2 linked regions of the Oryzias latipes genome follow. The protein of the gene in region 1 binds, or shares a complex with, the protein of each later gene. Links are inferred from orthologs where the notes say so. Each region holds a gene or a part of one and is shown on either strand. Other genes may lie near its edges.

The links.
Region 2: the proteins of rbsn (region 1) and rab4a are in contact, whole or in part, in a crystal structure (PDB 1Z0K), measured with the Homo sapiens proteins. The link is inferred for Oryzias latipes from reciprocal best matches to the Homo sapiens genes RBSN and RAB4A. Residues at the interface, in NP_001289307.1 of Homo sapiens: Glu441, Gly442, Trp443, Leu444, Pro445, Ser447, Glu454, Pro458, Leu459, Gln461, Gln462, Asn465, Ile466, Phe469, Asp480, Glu481, Thr484, Leu485, Asn488, Leu492, Glu495, Gln499; in NP_004569.2 of Homo sapiens: Tyr10, Leu30, His31, Ile34, Glu35, Ile46, Gly47, Val48, Glu49, Phe50, Gly51, Ser52, Lys53, Lys63, Gln65, Trp67, Arg74, Phe75, Ser77, Val78, Ser81, Tyr82.

The regions. Positions count from the first base shown.
Region 1 is NC_019865.2:17,020,273-17,027,725, forward strand, and holds part of rbsn (rabenosyn-5), read right to left. Parts: 5' UTR 7,401-7,453; intron 5,575-7,400; 5' UTR 5,465-5,574; coding exon 5,302-5,464; intron 5,068-5,301; coding exon 4,933-5,067; intron 4,851-4,932; coding exon 4,750-4,850; intron 4,679-4,749; coding exon 4,633-4,678; intron 4,546-4,632; coding exon 4,384-4,545; intron 4,293-4,383; coding exon 4,030-4,292; intron 3,927-4,029; coding exon 3,856-3,926; intron 2,389-3,855; coding exon 2,302-2,388; intron 2,210-2,301; coding exon 2,107-2,209; intron 1,957-2,106; coding exon 1,852-1,956; intron 1,767-1,851; coding exon 669-1,766; 3' UTR 1-668. UniProt on the Homo sapiens protein: Rab4/Rab5 effector protein acting in early endocytic membrane fusion and membrane trafficking of recycling endosomes. Required for endosome fusion either homotypically or with clathrin coated vesicles.
Region 2 is NC_019861.2:24,495,396-24,504,139, reverse strand, and holds rab4a (ras-related protein Rab-4A), read right to left. Parts: upstream 5,114-8,744; 5' UTR 4,980-5,113; coding exon 4,964-4,979; intron 4,353-4,963; coding exon 4,272-4,352; intron 3,424-4,271; coding exon 3,309-3,423; intron 3,122-3,308; coding exon 3,059-3,121; intron 2,980-3,058; coding exon 2,825-2,979; intron 2,659-2,824; coding exon 2,563-2,658; intron 2,347-2,562; coding exon 2,231-2,346; 3' UTR 2,202-2,230; intron 1,670-2,201; 3' UTR 1,657-1,669; downstream 1-1,656. Other genes in the region: phf10 (PHD finger protein 10), read left to right, coding at 5,484-5,558, 6,916-7,025, 7,134-7,264, 7,384-7,467, 7,563-7,687, 7,779-7,928, 8,030-8,139, 8,235-8,382 and 1 more. UniProt on the Homo sapiens protein: The small GTPases Rab are key regulators of intracellular membrane trafficking, from the formation of transport vesicles to their fusion with membranes.

The sequences.
Region 1 (7,453 bases):
TGGAATTTCTCTTAGGGGGCGGGGCTGAGTGCTGAAGTCAAGTGTTTGAATCCACTTTGAACATGAACACCTACATTTTGATCAGAGCTTTATTCAAAAACAAAACTTTGTTCACATATTTATTACCTAGTTAGCAAATACTTTGTTCTAGTGATAATCACATTGTAGTGTAAATAGTTATGGAAGTTGCAGTTGGTTAACATTGTGGAAATTTTTTAGTACTTACTAAAACTTCAAAAGTGTTCATCTTTGATCCAAAAGTGTTTTCCAAAGTGCAATTAATCCTTCAACTGGAGGAAAGCTCTTATAAAAAAAAAAAAAACGCTTTGCTAAAGTTTCTATCGTTAAAGTTTTTTTTTTTTGTTGCAAAAGATTTAAATCAAACCTTAATAATTCTTGAAGAGAACACAGATTAAACTCAGACTGGCTTCTGGATTTGACCTTAATTCAGATGTTTGTGTTTTTAGCATGCCTGTACAAATGAGCGTTACCTTTCAGTGCTAAACCATGTGCACGCTGGAGCAGATTCCAGCTCAGGAAACCATTTGTACTCTAATGTAATTGAATTAAGAGAATTTCTCTGTGTATTTGATAAACCTAATCCAAAGTAACGTTAGTGGGTTAATGACTCATCTATAGTGACTTGGTTTGAAGCAGGTGTTTGAGAGTCAGTGCTTCTTTTTCTTCTGCTCCTGCAGGGTGCGCTGCAGCTCTCTCAAGTTTTCCGACAGGAGCTCGACTTCGTCCAGACGGCCGTTGAGCTTTGCGTCGAAGATGTAGGCCCTAATATTGTCGATCTGCTGCAGCAACAGCTCTTCTTCTATCATGTCCACGTCAGGCAAGTCGTCGTCGTCCTCCCCATCAAAAGGGTTGGTGGAGACGTCGGGCGAATTCCCAGGAGCCTCCATGAAAGGATTATTCCCATCTGCGTTGTCCTCCTCAAAAGGGTTCCCCAGAGCAGTGTCAGGCTGTTTCGCCTCCTCTGAATCTGCATCTTCTTCGAACGGGTTGTATTCGTTCTTACCATTTGTTACCCCACTGCGCTCCCTCTTGATGTCCTCAAAGAAGGGGTTAGAAGAGTCCTCCTCAGTGGGAGTAAGCTCCTCTTCTTCAAATGGGTTTAAAGGGCTGCTGCTTTTGGTTTCTCCACCAGGGGGAGTTATATGACCTCCCAGGCTCCTCAGTCTGGGTGGGGAGTCCTCTTGGGATGTTAGGGTTAGCAGCTCTGTGACAGCAAGGGCACTTGTTTCAGCTATAGGAGTTAAGATATCGTCTGCCGTGCCCTCGTCTTCCTTCCAGCCTCCCGCCTGGCTGATATCCAAAGAGGGCTCCCAGTTGATGGAGGGCTGGGTGGAGCTGACAGTGGAACCCCAATGCCTCCTATCTTCCATTTCCTGGGCCTCAAGGCGCTGGAGCTCCCCTTGCTGCAAGCTTTCCTCTTTTGCCAGCTTCTCTGAGAGCACGATGGCAATGCAGGTCTGCTGCTGGTCATATTCGTCTTGCAGCTGACGCAGGTTCTCCTCCAACATGGCTACCTCGTCGGCTTTCTGGGCCTCGCGTGCCTGACGAAGGAACGACTGAATGTTCTGGATCTGTTGCAGAAGGGGGTCTTCCAGCTCGCTCCGTGAATGGACGGACTCTGCGGAGGGCAACCAACCGCTGGCTTTGGTCATGCGTTGGGCTCTCCGGGCCTGAGGCAGCTCGCCATTAGCAGGAGAACAGATTTTTTCAGCCTCCTGCCTCCTCTTCAGAGCCTCCTGGGCAGCCTGTTCAGCACATGAGAGATTTTAAGGAGCTTCATTCAGCAGCAGGAAACATGCATAAAAATCAGGAGCTGTTACTGGATCTCACCAGTCTCTCTTGCTGGAGTCTCCGCTCCTGTTCTTGTTTCCTCTTTTTTTTCAGCTCTTCATATTTCTCCTTAGTGGGTAAAGACATCAGTCCCAACAGTTTCTCCTAAAAGAGGAAAAACAAAACAGCCAAATCAAGACTACAGGATGTTTATTCTGAAAATGTTGTTCTAAAGCAACTGGTTTTTGTAATATCCTAAAAGACTTTTTGGTCAAATGTTGTGTCTCACTAGGTTTAGCTCAAAGATGTAATCACCTGGACAAAGAGTGTAGCAGAGTAGCGGATCATCTTCTGCAGCTGTAGCGCCTTTGGGTGGGGTGGGGGTTCATCTTTAAGCCCAAGTGTTAAAATCTTCTTACTGACAATAAAAAGAGCTCAAATAAACACACACACAGAAAAAACAAACATTTGTGCTCCACAATGGAGGCATCCTTTCAGACTGACACATACCTCAGAGCATCGATTAATTCGTAGTATTTCTGCACCTCCAGTCTTAGTCCACCAGCAGTGTCCAGGTTGTACGTGGTTTCTCCGGCGCTTTAAAAGTTAAAAAGTCAGAATATGTGTTAAATGCAAAGTCACGTACCTGTACACAAATATGTCATTTTTTTTAACCCTTGTGCTATCCTAGGCACTTTAACATTGGGAGTTGGGTCATCTAGACCCACTAGACAGTGCTCTGAACCTTTTTTCTTCAATGATTTGTGATCTTCACTGGTGTCCATGGATTACATGAAATCTTTCCAACTTTGTCATGGTAGGGAGAACACGTCAATGTAAGGGTGGGGTCATCTAAGATAGCACAAGGGTTAAAAAATCCAAAACGTCTGAACAACAATGATTTTTGGTTGTGGTTTAGTTTGTTTAAAGCCCCACTCCTATAAAATGTGTGTTTTTACTGTGTTTTTGTATCATTTTGTCTTATGATGGAGAACATATATTAGTAAAATGAAGCTTAAAATAGCATTTGTGATTATTGTTTTATTCAAATTGTTGTGAATCTGTAGCAGACAAAAAAAAGGGCGTATTTGTGACAGAAAATATCCTGGGCGGGTTACAAGCTCCCTGCTCTGGTCCTTTCTGATGCACTTGTAGACGACTAGATCCGTGTACCTCTATGTTTTCCTCCTCTGAGCTGCCATCCGGCCCGAAACTGTACGGCTGGATGGCTTCAATATTGCTCGCCATTTTTGTTGTGGCTGTGATGGGTTCTAAGTTAGTGGGAGAGCGTGTAAATACAGAACTCTCAGTTATGGGTGATGGGTAGTGGGTGTGGGGTTGCTCCGTACCAACAGTCTTGCCCAAAACTCAGCGGTAAATTTCTAATGGACTAATTACTACCGCTCTGCAGAAATTAAGTCCTAGAAAACGACAGTTTTTTTTTATTTTGCCTAAATGGCAGAATCATAATTAAAAGACCACTGAATACGCTTTTAGCATAGATCAAGAGATGATGACAACATTGGGTGAGCTATGGTACTCTCCGGGGAAGCAGGTGTTTAAAAGAAACTTCTGCTTTTGGGAATCTGCAAACGGCAAATGCTGCGGAGGACTCTGACAGAGGCAAACAAAACTTTTCCATTCTCTGGGATGAAGATTTGCTATTGTGCTTCACTTCAGTTGACAATTGCATGACTTTGAAAATGTTATTTGCTGTCAGAGAGTTCACATTTGTGTGAACGTACAAGGGAATACAGAATTTAATGACTTCAAGGTTGCAGAGTTCTGCATTTATAATCTTTCCTTCACTGGTTTTGAGAGAGGGAGCTGGGATGCTAAAAACTCTAAGTAGTTATGAAGAGCAGAGACCTGGCAGAACTAGGCAACTTTGTCTGGGTTCATCATTTTAATGCACAATCCAAAATAGTTATTGCTGATCTTTATCTGAGGTTACACTCACTAATTACAAGTACCCAGTATGGTATTATGAATATTTCTACACTAGTTAGAAAAGAAAAAAAAAACTTGTACACAAAACTGTAGGAACTTTTGAATCCTGCTTACTTTAGAGATTCAGCCATTCGAATATAGTCAGGAGCTTTTTCATCCACCTTCACCATGCACATCATCAACCTCTGTCAGAAAAAAAGACTTTATTATAAGCAACTCCCACCCCATGACAAAAGATGAAAGAAAGATCAAAACACAATGGTTTTAACCCATAATAATCAAACTAACCTCATAAAGTTTCACTATGTCTGGAATGTTGTCCTTCTCGTCTAACTTTTGCTGTTTCTTCAGCAGCGTGTCCATACAGTGGTGACAGCAGCGGATCTTCTCGTCATCCTTTTCCTCCAGCATTGAGGTAACACTGCTCAAGCTGCTGATACTGCCTCTGCGCGAGCCCATACCACTGCTGCCACCTCCAGCAGGGAGAGTCTGGGTCTGGCCGGGACTTCCAGGGACACACAGAGCCTCCCGAGTCCCGTAAATGAGCTTCTCTGTAACAAGATGAAAGACATCTGGAAATGAGACACCTCTGATCCCACCTGAGTGCAGAAGTCTGTACTTCTGAGGCATTTTGATGCATACGGGCCAAAGGTAGGGGGACGAACTCCATGCATCTTCGGCACATGATGGAGCCACAGAGGCGACAGTGGTGCCGCCTGTTGCGGATGTTGAACTTGTTTCCGCAGTCGGGGCAGAACGGGACATCAGAGTCATTTACCCAAGACACCACGGACTTCTCGATCGCTACAGAGAAGAATAAAAACTCAGAACTCAAAAAGATTTCATTCTTAATGTTTAGACCAAAGAACCAATAAGCAAATAGTAACACACCTCTGATCTTAGCCGAGTCGGAGTTGACTCTGTCAAATGACGTCAACTGAAACATCAAATCGGAAAGTTAGATCAAATGTCCCAGCCATAAGGAGAATGATGCTTTTGAGGGCGTACCTTCTCCAGTCTAATGATGAGCTTGTTGACTTCAATGACATAGTGATCTATTCTGGCAGCACGATGTTTCTTAAAGATATCCAGGTGACTTCTTGTTGCTCCTATTAGAGTAAACAAAAACAATTCCAACAAATAAAAAACACGAAAAATACATGTGCTGCTCTGATATTAATACTTTCTTACCCAGTTCCTGAGGCTCCCACATATAAGGATCCACTCCACCATAGTAGAAAGACTCATAACTGCCCGTGTCGAGCCTGTCCTCTCCATCTCTCTTTAAAAGTTTATCTTTGGCTTTTTTTGCCTTCTGAACCAAACCTGAATCACACAGAAAGGTAACAAAATATTGTAAATTCACATAAGATATCTTTTTTTTTTTAAAGTATGACAATTGTTAAGGAAAGCTGGATTTTTTCAAATGTTAGATAGAAAGAAACACCAACTCCAAACAGCTACATTTAAGCTTATTAGCTGGATTGTCATATTGCAAAAAAGGGAATTTTATTACGTTTTTTCTTTTTTTCTGAAGCTGAATTCTGACTCGACCCTTACTTTTGAGCTGGCCTCGGACATGCCGGTCATCCCCTGAGTGCTCCTCCTCATAGTGGCCTTGGAGTTGGTAGAAAGACTGCAGGTCCTTCAGGCACAATGGGCAAAGGAAGCCCTCTTTTACTTCACCTGTGCCCTCGAAGGGGGGTGGGTAGCTGGAGGCCATGATGAGAGCTGGAAGCCTTGTTGTTTACCAGAAAGTGAAGGGCGGCATAATGAAGCTTCAACCCGCTGGTCACAATGTGTACAATGTTAGCCTCCTTAGCTTCATGATTCCTGAAAAATGTAAAGAGTGAACAGAAAGACAAAGCAGACTGAGGTTACACATAACTTCAGGCTTAATTGTGAAATCTCAGATATTTACAGTTAGGACTGAAAGTGGTTTTAGCTTAGTCAAAAAACAAAAATTAATGTAAAAAAGCGTTTAATTGCAATACTGTAAAAAGTCATTGTAATAACAAAGTCACCCTTATCCAACTGAAATGAGAGCTGCAATAGGAGGGCCACTGACTGCAAAAAAGATCCCAACTGATGACTATGAAAGGTTGAAGAGGTTTAAAGGCAGTGGCTCATATTAACTACCCTTGCACTAATCATTTGTGTACAATCATCAGGAGTGCACAACCGTCACAAAGCCCTCTTCTCTGTCGGTAACACAAAGCTACAAGCCTGGCCGCACTGCTCCTAGCATGTGTCTCTTAGCAGCCGGACACACGGAGAAAGCAGTGACGTCATCGCCCCGCCTCCCCTCTGGAAATGCTAAGTCGAATTGAATTATGCGACAGTATTCGCAGGGTGGATGTTAAAATGAAAATGCAATCCCCTCTTTGCATTTTCGTTTTAATTACGACACAGAATAACCGGTTTTTAAGTAGAAAATGAAAAAGCATTTTGAAGTATTGAATTTTCATTTTAATTTGGAGTCATTTGATGCAGTTACATTATGAAAATGAAAAAGCATTTCTGTTAATCCATTTTAATTCTCAAATTAGACATTTCTAAATGAATTTTGCTACACATTTACCAGAGAACCTTTTGAAAATGAGATGTCAAATACCATTTACATTATCATTTTAATTAAGTGACAGAAAAAGCGGTGTTGAAGAAGAAAAGGAAAAAGCATTTTGAAGGATTGCTTTTTCATTTTAATTTTGAGTCAAAACATGCAGTTACATTTTGAAAATGAAAAAGCATTTCTGGTTTTGACTTTCATTTTTAATTATGCTACAAAATCGCTTCCATAATGTACAACAAACGTGTGAATGCATAGGGGAAAGAAAGACAGAAAAAAATTCAAATTCACAGAATTTATGTAGAGCCATAGTGCATCACATGACAAAACAAAAATTAACAAGGAGCCACAGAGATGTTGTTTTTTTAAGTACCTTTTTAACAATGAAATGAGTCGAAGCAGCCAGTTTTGTTGTCATTTGATTGATGTTACCATATTGCATTGGTTAAGTGTATTAGGTTTGGGGTTTGATCATTTCCTTTATGAATATGAAATGTCCCCAATAATAAAGTTAGTTGTCTTTTTAAACTAAAGTTCTGGTCCATTTCGTCATTATAACAGCCCGATTTATGCTCTGATAATGATTCATGTTTGTAATGGACGCTCTTTGATTACGTTTATTTACAGGGACTGAGATGAGCCCAAAAATCCCATCGGTCCATTTCTAATATTTATAACCAGAAGATTGTTTTAAAAATTAAATTCTGCAACTTTGAGAAAAAACGTTTTTCTTTAAATTACTATAACAAAGCATTTTTTATATTCAGAATAAAAACTTAAAATCTTGCTACACGGAAAGTTACAGCTGTGCTAGCAAGCATCCCTGTTTGACATTTCATATTAAGGTTTGCTTTAGTCTAAGGCGCGAAACGGAGGGAATTGCCAGAAGGAAAAGATCCGTGTTTTCAAATACAATGCGTTGAGTTAAAAGCAAAATTTTATACCGCTATTCCAAGCAACGAAGGAACGGTTTAGCCGTAAATGATGCTAGCATATAATGAGGGTTCGCAATCTTTACCGCTATTTTCCCTCTAATTTGCAGGCAGATCCAACAAAAACTTCATAACTAGATAAACATATAATCATATACCTTCCCCTCCAGACGAAGAAGAGTTCATATGCTGAAGTGTATCCGACAATAAG
Region 2 (8,744 bases), on another chromosome or scaffold:
AAGGTTTGTTGCAAAAGTACCTTCATTCTTCCAGCACATATTTACATGTTGTAGATACATTTTCAGTGTCTTCTAGTGTTGTGCAATATTTCACAGTAACTACATATCAGTGTCTTTTTAATATTTGATGAACTTTTAAAATGAGTAAAAAAGGAAAACAATTGTGCAAACAGACCAAAATAAAAACGAAGCACCTATAAATATTATTTTTTTCCACATCGACATGTTTTTTTTGTGCTTGTACAACAAGAAACACTTTAGTAATTCTGTTTCTTAAATAGTGGAACAGAATGCATTTCATCATTGCAGATGACTTCCTGTCAGCTTGGTCAACGGCAATACAATAAAAAACAAAAAAGAAGTGCATTTGTGTTGGTTTTTATTTCAAAAACATAGCTTTTCGTCATACACAATAAATTAAAAATATATGATATTTATAATGAAAGGAGAAAACACACACACAGATCATTAGAAATGAGGCTTCATGACACAAACACAAGACGACAACCTCACGTGACACAAACTATGCTGCTCTCAGATACACCTCTGGAGGCATTTCGCATTGAAAAATGTCTGTTTCCTTTGAAATGTCTGCACCTGCAACAGTTTAGTGTACGAGTTGTAAAGTGATATAATCTCCAAAGTAAAATTCTTTGTTTTTGACCAGATTTGACAAAACAAAACGCACAACTGATAAATCTCATGATACAACTCTTAGTCTCTCTACAGCTGACAGCATTCTGTCCCCTCATGGACTCTATTTTTTTTCTTTTTTTCTGATAAAGCAATGCGTTACTGCCAAATTCATGAAAATACAAAGTTCTAGCACAGCTTTCCTGTGAGGCACAGCTCCACATTTTAATGAGCAGAGCTGAAAACCTATTTAATTGACACCTTAATATCTCTTTATATAATGAAACACTCTGATAATTTGCTTGAAAAGCATGCATCGGTCACAGCAGCACTGTACAACATTCTGCAGGGAGAAGAGGAAGTGGATGAGGACTATAAACAAATTAGGGTTAGCTTAGCTGATGAAATGTGCTTCCATAGCTGCACAGTGTGGAGTGAGAAGCTTCACTTGGGTAAAGAAGAGCAGGTGCGCGATAAACAAGGAGTGCTATTAGTTGGGAAAAAAATGGAATTTTAGTAATTTGGGTGATTTATTTCATGCTTAAAAATAGGGAGATTATCTTTTATTTAATGAACTTTGCACCAAACCATAGCAAGTGCTAGTAGTGTCAAAAGTATGTGTTTGAAAACTGTCAACTTTTTATTTTAATTGAACTACCTTGAATTGAACTACCTTTACTTTAAATATGATTGACAGGAACCGTCTTTATGAATAGATAGAGGAAAGTCTAACAGGCTTGGAGAGCAGGTGACAAGCAGGGAGCTACGTCTGAGGAGAAACCTTCTCGCCACAGAGCCAGAGAGATTTTGGTCCAGCTTTAAATTATGTTTCTGTTTTTGAAGATGAGTGTGGTCTTCTGGGTTCCTTAGCTGGGGGCGGGGTCTTCACAGCTCTCCGCACATGCAAAAATGACAACAGATGCTCTGAAGGGTCCGTGCAAAAGTTGGAGGAAGGTGGAGTAACCGGCACGGCAAGCCCCCCGCATCTGCATTCGTGGAGGTTCTATGTGGCTGCTCTTCTTCTGGTCTTCACAAACTTGTTTCCAAAAACAAAACAAAATCAAACGTGGAGAAAAAGACACACAAACATACTATAGTAAATAGCATTGCAGGAAGAATTACACTGAGGTGCATCAACACTTTTTGCAAAGTTGATATTCAACATAACCTACAACTATTGTTTCAGAAAAACAAACTGCAGACTAACTGTAACTGGTTGCCTAAATCCAAGTTCATGTCAATAAATGGTCCGATCCATTTTTTTTCTCTGAATACAGCTCTGTACTGATCCAGTAGATAACAGCTGTCAATGAAAACATAGTGCAGATTTTAATACTGTTTTAGGATTTGATATACATAGTAAGATAAATGTCATCAGTCCTGGTTTTCTTGCATAAATTTCATCCTAATATTTATCTATTTTCTCTGACTGTGTAATTCTGTGCTATACTGAGCACAACTGTCATAACCACAGGAGGCGATCGGCTCCCTTTCCGTACCTGAAAATTAACTCCAAAAAAAATGTCAGAGGTCCGAGACACTCTGGGATCCCACAGCAACACGTTTACCTTCAAAGGGCTATGTAACAGGACGTCCACTAGCAGCCACATTCCTGGGTGCCCTGCGGCTGAGCACGGCGAGGAGAACGAAGCTGGCGTAACGCAGCGTCCCCATATTGGATTCCTGACCCCATCCTCTCTGGATCTAGCTCTCCTAAGAGTAGAGAAATGGTGCTGATTAATAGAGATAAAGAGAAAACAACCTACAGAGGTTTCATCCCCACTACAGACTTTTGGACCAGCTGGTCCAACACTCCAGACTAGCTCACTGAAGCCCTGAGCTCCACCTGAGCTTGGACTATCCCATTAGGATAAGAAGGGATTTGGAAATTGTGTTTAACAAATGTGGGCAAAGATTAGAACTCCTCACCTGACTCTATTTTATTCAGGATTTTCCGGGCACACTGGACAAAGGCTTCTTCAACATTCTCTCCTGTGAGAGCGCTGGTCTCCAGGAACATTAACTCTGCCACAAACACAGAGTAAGGATGAGAGCAGCCGCTATGAAAACCGCTGATGATTATTCCACACTAATGGCCAGTCAGTGCTAAACAGTAAACCATTGAGTAATTACGTATAATGAAAGTTAACTGTATAGTTTTTAGCTAAGGATTATAAACTTAAGATCGAACCATTTTCCTGAGCGAAGCGTGACGCCTCCAGAAACGTGACCTCTCTGTCAGCATCTAGATCCTTTTTGTTCCCACACAGGATAATTACAATGTTTTGACTGGCCAGCATCCTAGCATCACTTAACCACGTGGTTAAGGCGTTGTAGGTTTCTCGACTGAAGCCACAAAAACAACAAAACAAATGGTTAAGCAGTCAAAGTATACATAATAAAAGAATAACGCACCTCGTCTTACCTGGTGATATCATAGACCAGCAAAGCTCCTGCTGCTCCTCTGTAGTAGCTCCTGGTGACGGACCTGACAAACATATACTGGTTAAAGGGAACATTGTTGACACTTAAGCAAATGCATACCAAATCCATTTAGTAATTATTGCCAATTTAAGACAGAAATGGAAAAAAAAAAGTTGTAGCTGTGCACCGCCGACATCTCTAAAAACGCAACATCCACAATGTAGAAGGAATTTTTAAAGATGTTTAGCTACCTGAAACGTTCTTGACCTGCAGTGTCCCAAATCTGAAGTTTGACCATTTTGTTCACCACACTAATAATCTTGGAGCCAAACTCCACTCCAATTGTGTGGTTGGACTCATCTTTGACTGGAAAATCATAAATATCACATGTAAGTCATATATTTTCAACACCTTAAAATGACCTACTGTTTACAAAAATAAAATGCCCTTTTTTAATCTGATAAAGATTGTGACTGCTTTGCTAAAATCTGTTTAAAAAATAAGAGTCAAACTAAAAATATTCATCAAGATTTGCTTAAAGTCCCACTCCGATCATCTTTTGAACTATTGTAAAAGCGTTTTCAGTAGTTTTTAAATAATGTTTATGCTGTTTTAGCCAAAATTGAAAAAAGCAAACAAACTCTTGTTGTGTTGGACATAGTATCTGCAGAGCGGCAGTAGGTTATTAAAAAATGAATCTTTGAGTTGTGGACGGGACTGGGACCTTTCCCATCTTCCTTTTGTTTACACTCCTCTAGCTTACAGCCCCTCACACCCCCTCAACATTAGTGGTGCAACAAAAATGGCGAGCAATATTAGAGCTATTCAGCTGTACAGTTTTAAGCTAGATGTTAGCTCACACGAGGAAAATGAAGACGTTCATGGATCTATTTGTTTACAAGTGGATGCATCGGATTGAAGCGGAGCAGGGAGCTTGTAGCTCGCCATAGTAGCTTCTATGTCACATCTACAAGCAACTGGTCCTGAATCACAGTGATTTGAATAAAGAAATACTCAGAGATGCAATTTTAGGCTTAATTTTTACATAAATGTCCATTATAATGAGAACAAAATGTCACAAAAATATGTTAAAAACACACAAATAACGACTGTCTTTGAGTGGGACCTTAAAGATATTTAAATAAAAGAGTCGGGCAATTACTGTGTCATTATTATAAAGCTTTTTCTAGTGATTACAACTGAAGCAAACTTACATCTCTTTTCTATGAACTGGTGCAGAAGGCAGGATTTGCCTGTTCCAGCATTTCCAATCACTAGGAATTTAAACAGAAAGTCTGCAGAGGGAACACAGTAGTAACATAGATAAAGCAAACAGGGTTTGAATATGCTGCCTTGTTATTAATAAACTCAACTATTCTTAATTTTTTTTTGATACAGTTGTTGACATGTACACATCTGATGTCTACACTATACAAATCAAGACAAATGTGTCGTAAACAGATCGAACAAAGCCTTATATATATATATTTATTCTTTACTCCCACTAAGATAATTATCATGTTTAATGTTGGTTCAATTGATTGAACAGTTGTAGCATAGTGTAATTTGAGCAATGCCTCACAAAACACAGAGATATCCTATCATCACTTGCGTTTGCAAAAGAAAAGCGGGAGTCTCTTGCTTTGTGTCCTAGTGCTTATCCCGGGAACAATAGCATCTCCTATAGTCACAGCTTCTTGCATTATAAAGCTTTACTAATACACCTGTACCCGGAAGGCAGATTTATTAACGCTGACATTTGAGTTTAAAGGCCAAAACCTTCCTACTCCTCAGTGGCTCGGTTAGCCTGCCAGCTAGCTATTTGTTTACGAAGGGACCTCATCATCCCTTTCCTGCCATCTGTGTGTGAGATTCTAACGGGTATAAAGCAAGACAGCCTCCTTACCGTAAGACTCCGACATCCTCGGTGTGTCAGCTAAGCTGCAAGGCAGAGAAAGGCGAAACTGTTATTTGTTTAGCTTGCTAAGTGATGGAAATAGTCCTGTTGGTGATTTCCTTGGATTCTATGATTTCCTCCTCCAACTTCCTGTACGGTGTGTGTGGGTTTTTTTTCTTCAAAATAAAAGCATTCTGAAATGACACTTATGCCACATAGTCCTCAAACTACCGCGTGGGGGTGATGTTTGGATATGTTCTTATGGTTTCAATTAATGAAAAATAAATTCTCGCCGTTCTAAGTAAATTTTAAAAACAGCCCATTTCGCTGAGAGTTTTATCTATATGTAAATTAATTGGTTTGCATGTTGTGTACAAATTCTCTCTTTTTAACATATTTTTTGGAGGATCTAGGAGGTGGCGCTCTGAATTTACACAAACGTCAACCGAGTCCGTGGTTGTCCAAAGAAGAAGAAACGTAGTTTCCCCCGCTAATCATTAGCCTAGCTGTGGGCATTATTTATCTTAAAATGGCTACATTATTCCCTATTATTAGACCACCAAGTGATAGCAGTCCCGCTACTCCTGGGGCGCACTCCATGAAGGTGATTTTTTTCTACTTTGATAAATATCCATTAGCTGTTGTTTACGGGGAAACATGACGATGTTTTGCTAACAGATAGCTAGCTAGCCAACGGACGTTTCCATTCACTAGGACAACTGTCAGCCACTTTTAGCAAAATCATTTGTTTTCAAATGTGCTCAAATTACTTCCTCTTGAAGTAATTTGCTCCTATTATTCGTGTATTTCTCTATTAGTTTGCAACGTTGAAAAAATATATAAATAAAAAAAAACTAGATTGTGTAGCCATTTAAATATAAAGTGTTGCTAATTTTTTCCCTGTGTAATCCTAGTCAAACTAGTTTTGCACATGTTCCCATTTTCACAATAATACGGAGCCCCTAAAGGGCCATTGATGAAAAAAAAAAAAACTTGAGGAAATTTTTTTTTTTTGAAGTAAAAAAAAATTCTTTGAGCTAAAAATTTTTTTTTTGAAGTAAATAGGAAAAAAAACTAACTGGTGCGCACCAGTTAGTTTCAGGTGCGCACCAGTTAGTATCAGGTGCGCACCAGTTAGTTTCAGGTGCGCACCAGTTAGTATCAGAAGATATCAGATAGTTGACCTGCTTGCTCATTGTGCACCAAGTAGCTACAGTTGTCTTGAGAATGGCTAAAGTTGAGGATATGGACCTTATAAACTTTCTGAAAACACGAAATATTACTGACAATGTCATAATGTCACCTGAAACTAATTGGTGCGCAGCTGAAACTAACTGGTGGGCACCTGATACTAACTGGTGCGCACCTGAAACTAACTGGTGGGCACCTGATACTAACTGGTGCGCACCTGAAACTAACTGGTGCGCACCTGAAACTAACTGGTGCGCACCTGATACTAACTGGTGCGCACCTGATACTAACTGGTGCGCACCTGAAACTAACTGGTGCGCACCTGATACTAACTGGTGCGCACCTGATACTAACTGGTGCGCACCTGATACTAACTGGTGCGCACCTGATACTAACTGGTGCGCACCTGATACTAACTGGTGCGCACCTGATACTAACTGGTGCGCACCTGAAACTAACTGGTGCGCACCTGATACTAACTGGTGTGCACCTGAAACTAACTAACTGGTGCGCACCAGTTAGTTTCAGGTGGGCACCAGTTAGTTTTTTTTTTCCTATTTACTTCAAAAAAAATTTTTTTTACTCCAAAAGAATTTTTTTTACTCCAAGAGAATTTTTTTTTACTTCAAAAAAAAAATTTTTTCCTCCATTTTTTTTTTTTCATCAATGGCCCTTTAGGGGCTCCGTACAATAAGCTTTTCGATTCTATATATTTTGGTGTTCATCTGTTTGAAAAAAAATGTTGGTGAATCTTTTTTCCACTTCTGTAGGAAGATGTAATTGATGAGGTATCTAATGATGGGAGCCAGCCACCGAAAAGGAGGAGAATGGGTTCAGGGGACAGCTCTCGGAGCTGTGACACCTTCAGCCAAGAGCTTGGGTAGGCTACTTGTTTTTGCATTACAATTTGCCATTATTCTTAAGTAATTGCGTCAGATACCAACTTATAAATCTAATGTGTTGTTCCTGCCCCCACCTCCTCATCTAGGGTGACTTATTTCCCAGCAGAAAACCTAATAGAGTATAAATGGCCTCCTGATGATACAGGAGAATATTACATGCTGCAAGAACAAATCAGCGAGTATTTGGGTGTCACGTCATTCAAACGCAAATATCCTGGTAAGAATTGAACAATAATTCACAAAATGATCAGGAAAGGAAATGTTTAAGTGCGGTTGATTTAGCAACTGCCCAAATTATGTTTTGACCAGGGAATTTTTTTTAACATTCTTGTGCAGATATGGAGAGGAGAGACCTGTCTCACAAAGAAAAGCTCTACCTACGTGAGCAAAATGTTATCACTGAGACGCAGTGCACCCTGGGTACGAGCCAACCCTAAAACTCTTTGTTAATGCACAGACTTCATACATTTATTTATATTTCTTACATAATGTAGTGCTGTTGTATTTATATGCAGGATTGACAGCTTTGCGGAGCGATGAAGTGATCGACTTGATGATAAAGGAGTATCCAACCAAACACTCTGAGTACTCTGTGATATTGCAGGAAAAGGAGCGTCAGAGAATAGCTAAGGAGTACTCTGTAAGAACACCAGACTAGAACAACCTTTAGTTTTTATTAGAAATTGTCGAAACGCACGAACAAATAGTTGTACTCTCTTGTGCTTTTGCAGCAAATGCAGCAGCAGAACCCTCAGAAAGTGGAGGCAAGCAAGGTTCCTGAGTACATAAAGAAAGCTGCAAAAAAAGCTGCTGAGTTTAACAGCATCTTCAACAGGGAGCGAATGGAAGAGAGGAGAGCTTACTTTGACCTCCAGACTCACGTAAGTCTAATGGCAGATGGTTTAATAAATCTGCATCAGTGCAACGTTGGTTGAGCTTTTGACTGATGCAACTCCTTTTTGTCCTCTGCTTTTTGTCTCAGGTTATTCAGGTGCCCCAGGGAAGGTTCAAAGTTCTTGCTCCAGAACTAACCAGAACAGGACCCTACCCTGTTGCTCTTATCCCAGGTCAATTCCAAGATTACTATAAAAGGTACGTTCCATAACTGTTAGCTCTTCGTAAGTGACAGTAGTCTCTCAGTTAACGGTAAATAGATTTTAGATACACGATTGTGTTGTTTGTGCCAGGTACTCACCCAATGAGCTGCGCTACTTGCCATTAAACACTGCTCTGTTTGAGCCTCCTCTGGATCCAGAGCTTCCTGCTCTGGACTCTGAACCTGACTCGGACGATGCTGACGACGGCAAAGACGACAAGAAGAGCAAGAACTCTTCCGTAAGAGTGTATTCTGTGCACATGTATATATATATCTAAGTGCCAATAACTCTTTTCTGCTTTCTAAATAATATGTTTGGTGGAATTTTGAAATCAGGCAAGTTGATTTAAGTGTTAAAAGTTCTTAAAAAAATTTGAAAACTTATAATTTACTTCAGTTTTTGTGTAAAGAAAGATTACAGACCTCTTTAATTTTCTTTTATAAGCGTGTTTTTTTTTTTGTACCCCCCTCTCTGTTATTTAACAGGACAGCTCTTCAGGCAACGCCTCTGACGTGGAGAGTCAGGAAGGTGGAGGTGGGCAGGGCAGCAAGTCTAAAATGAAAGACAGGACATCAACACCAGGCAAAGATCAGCGCCAGT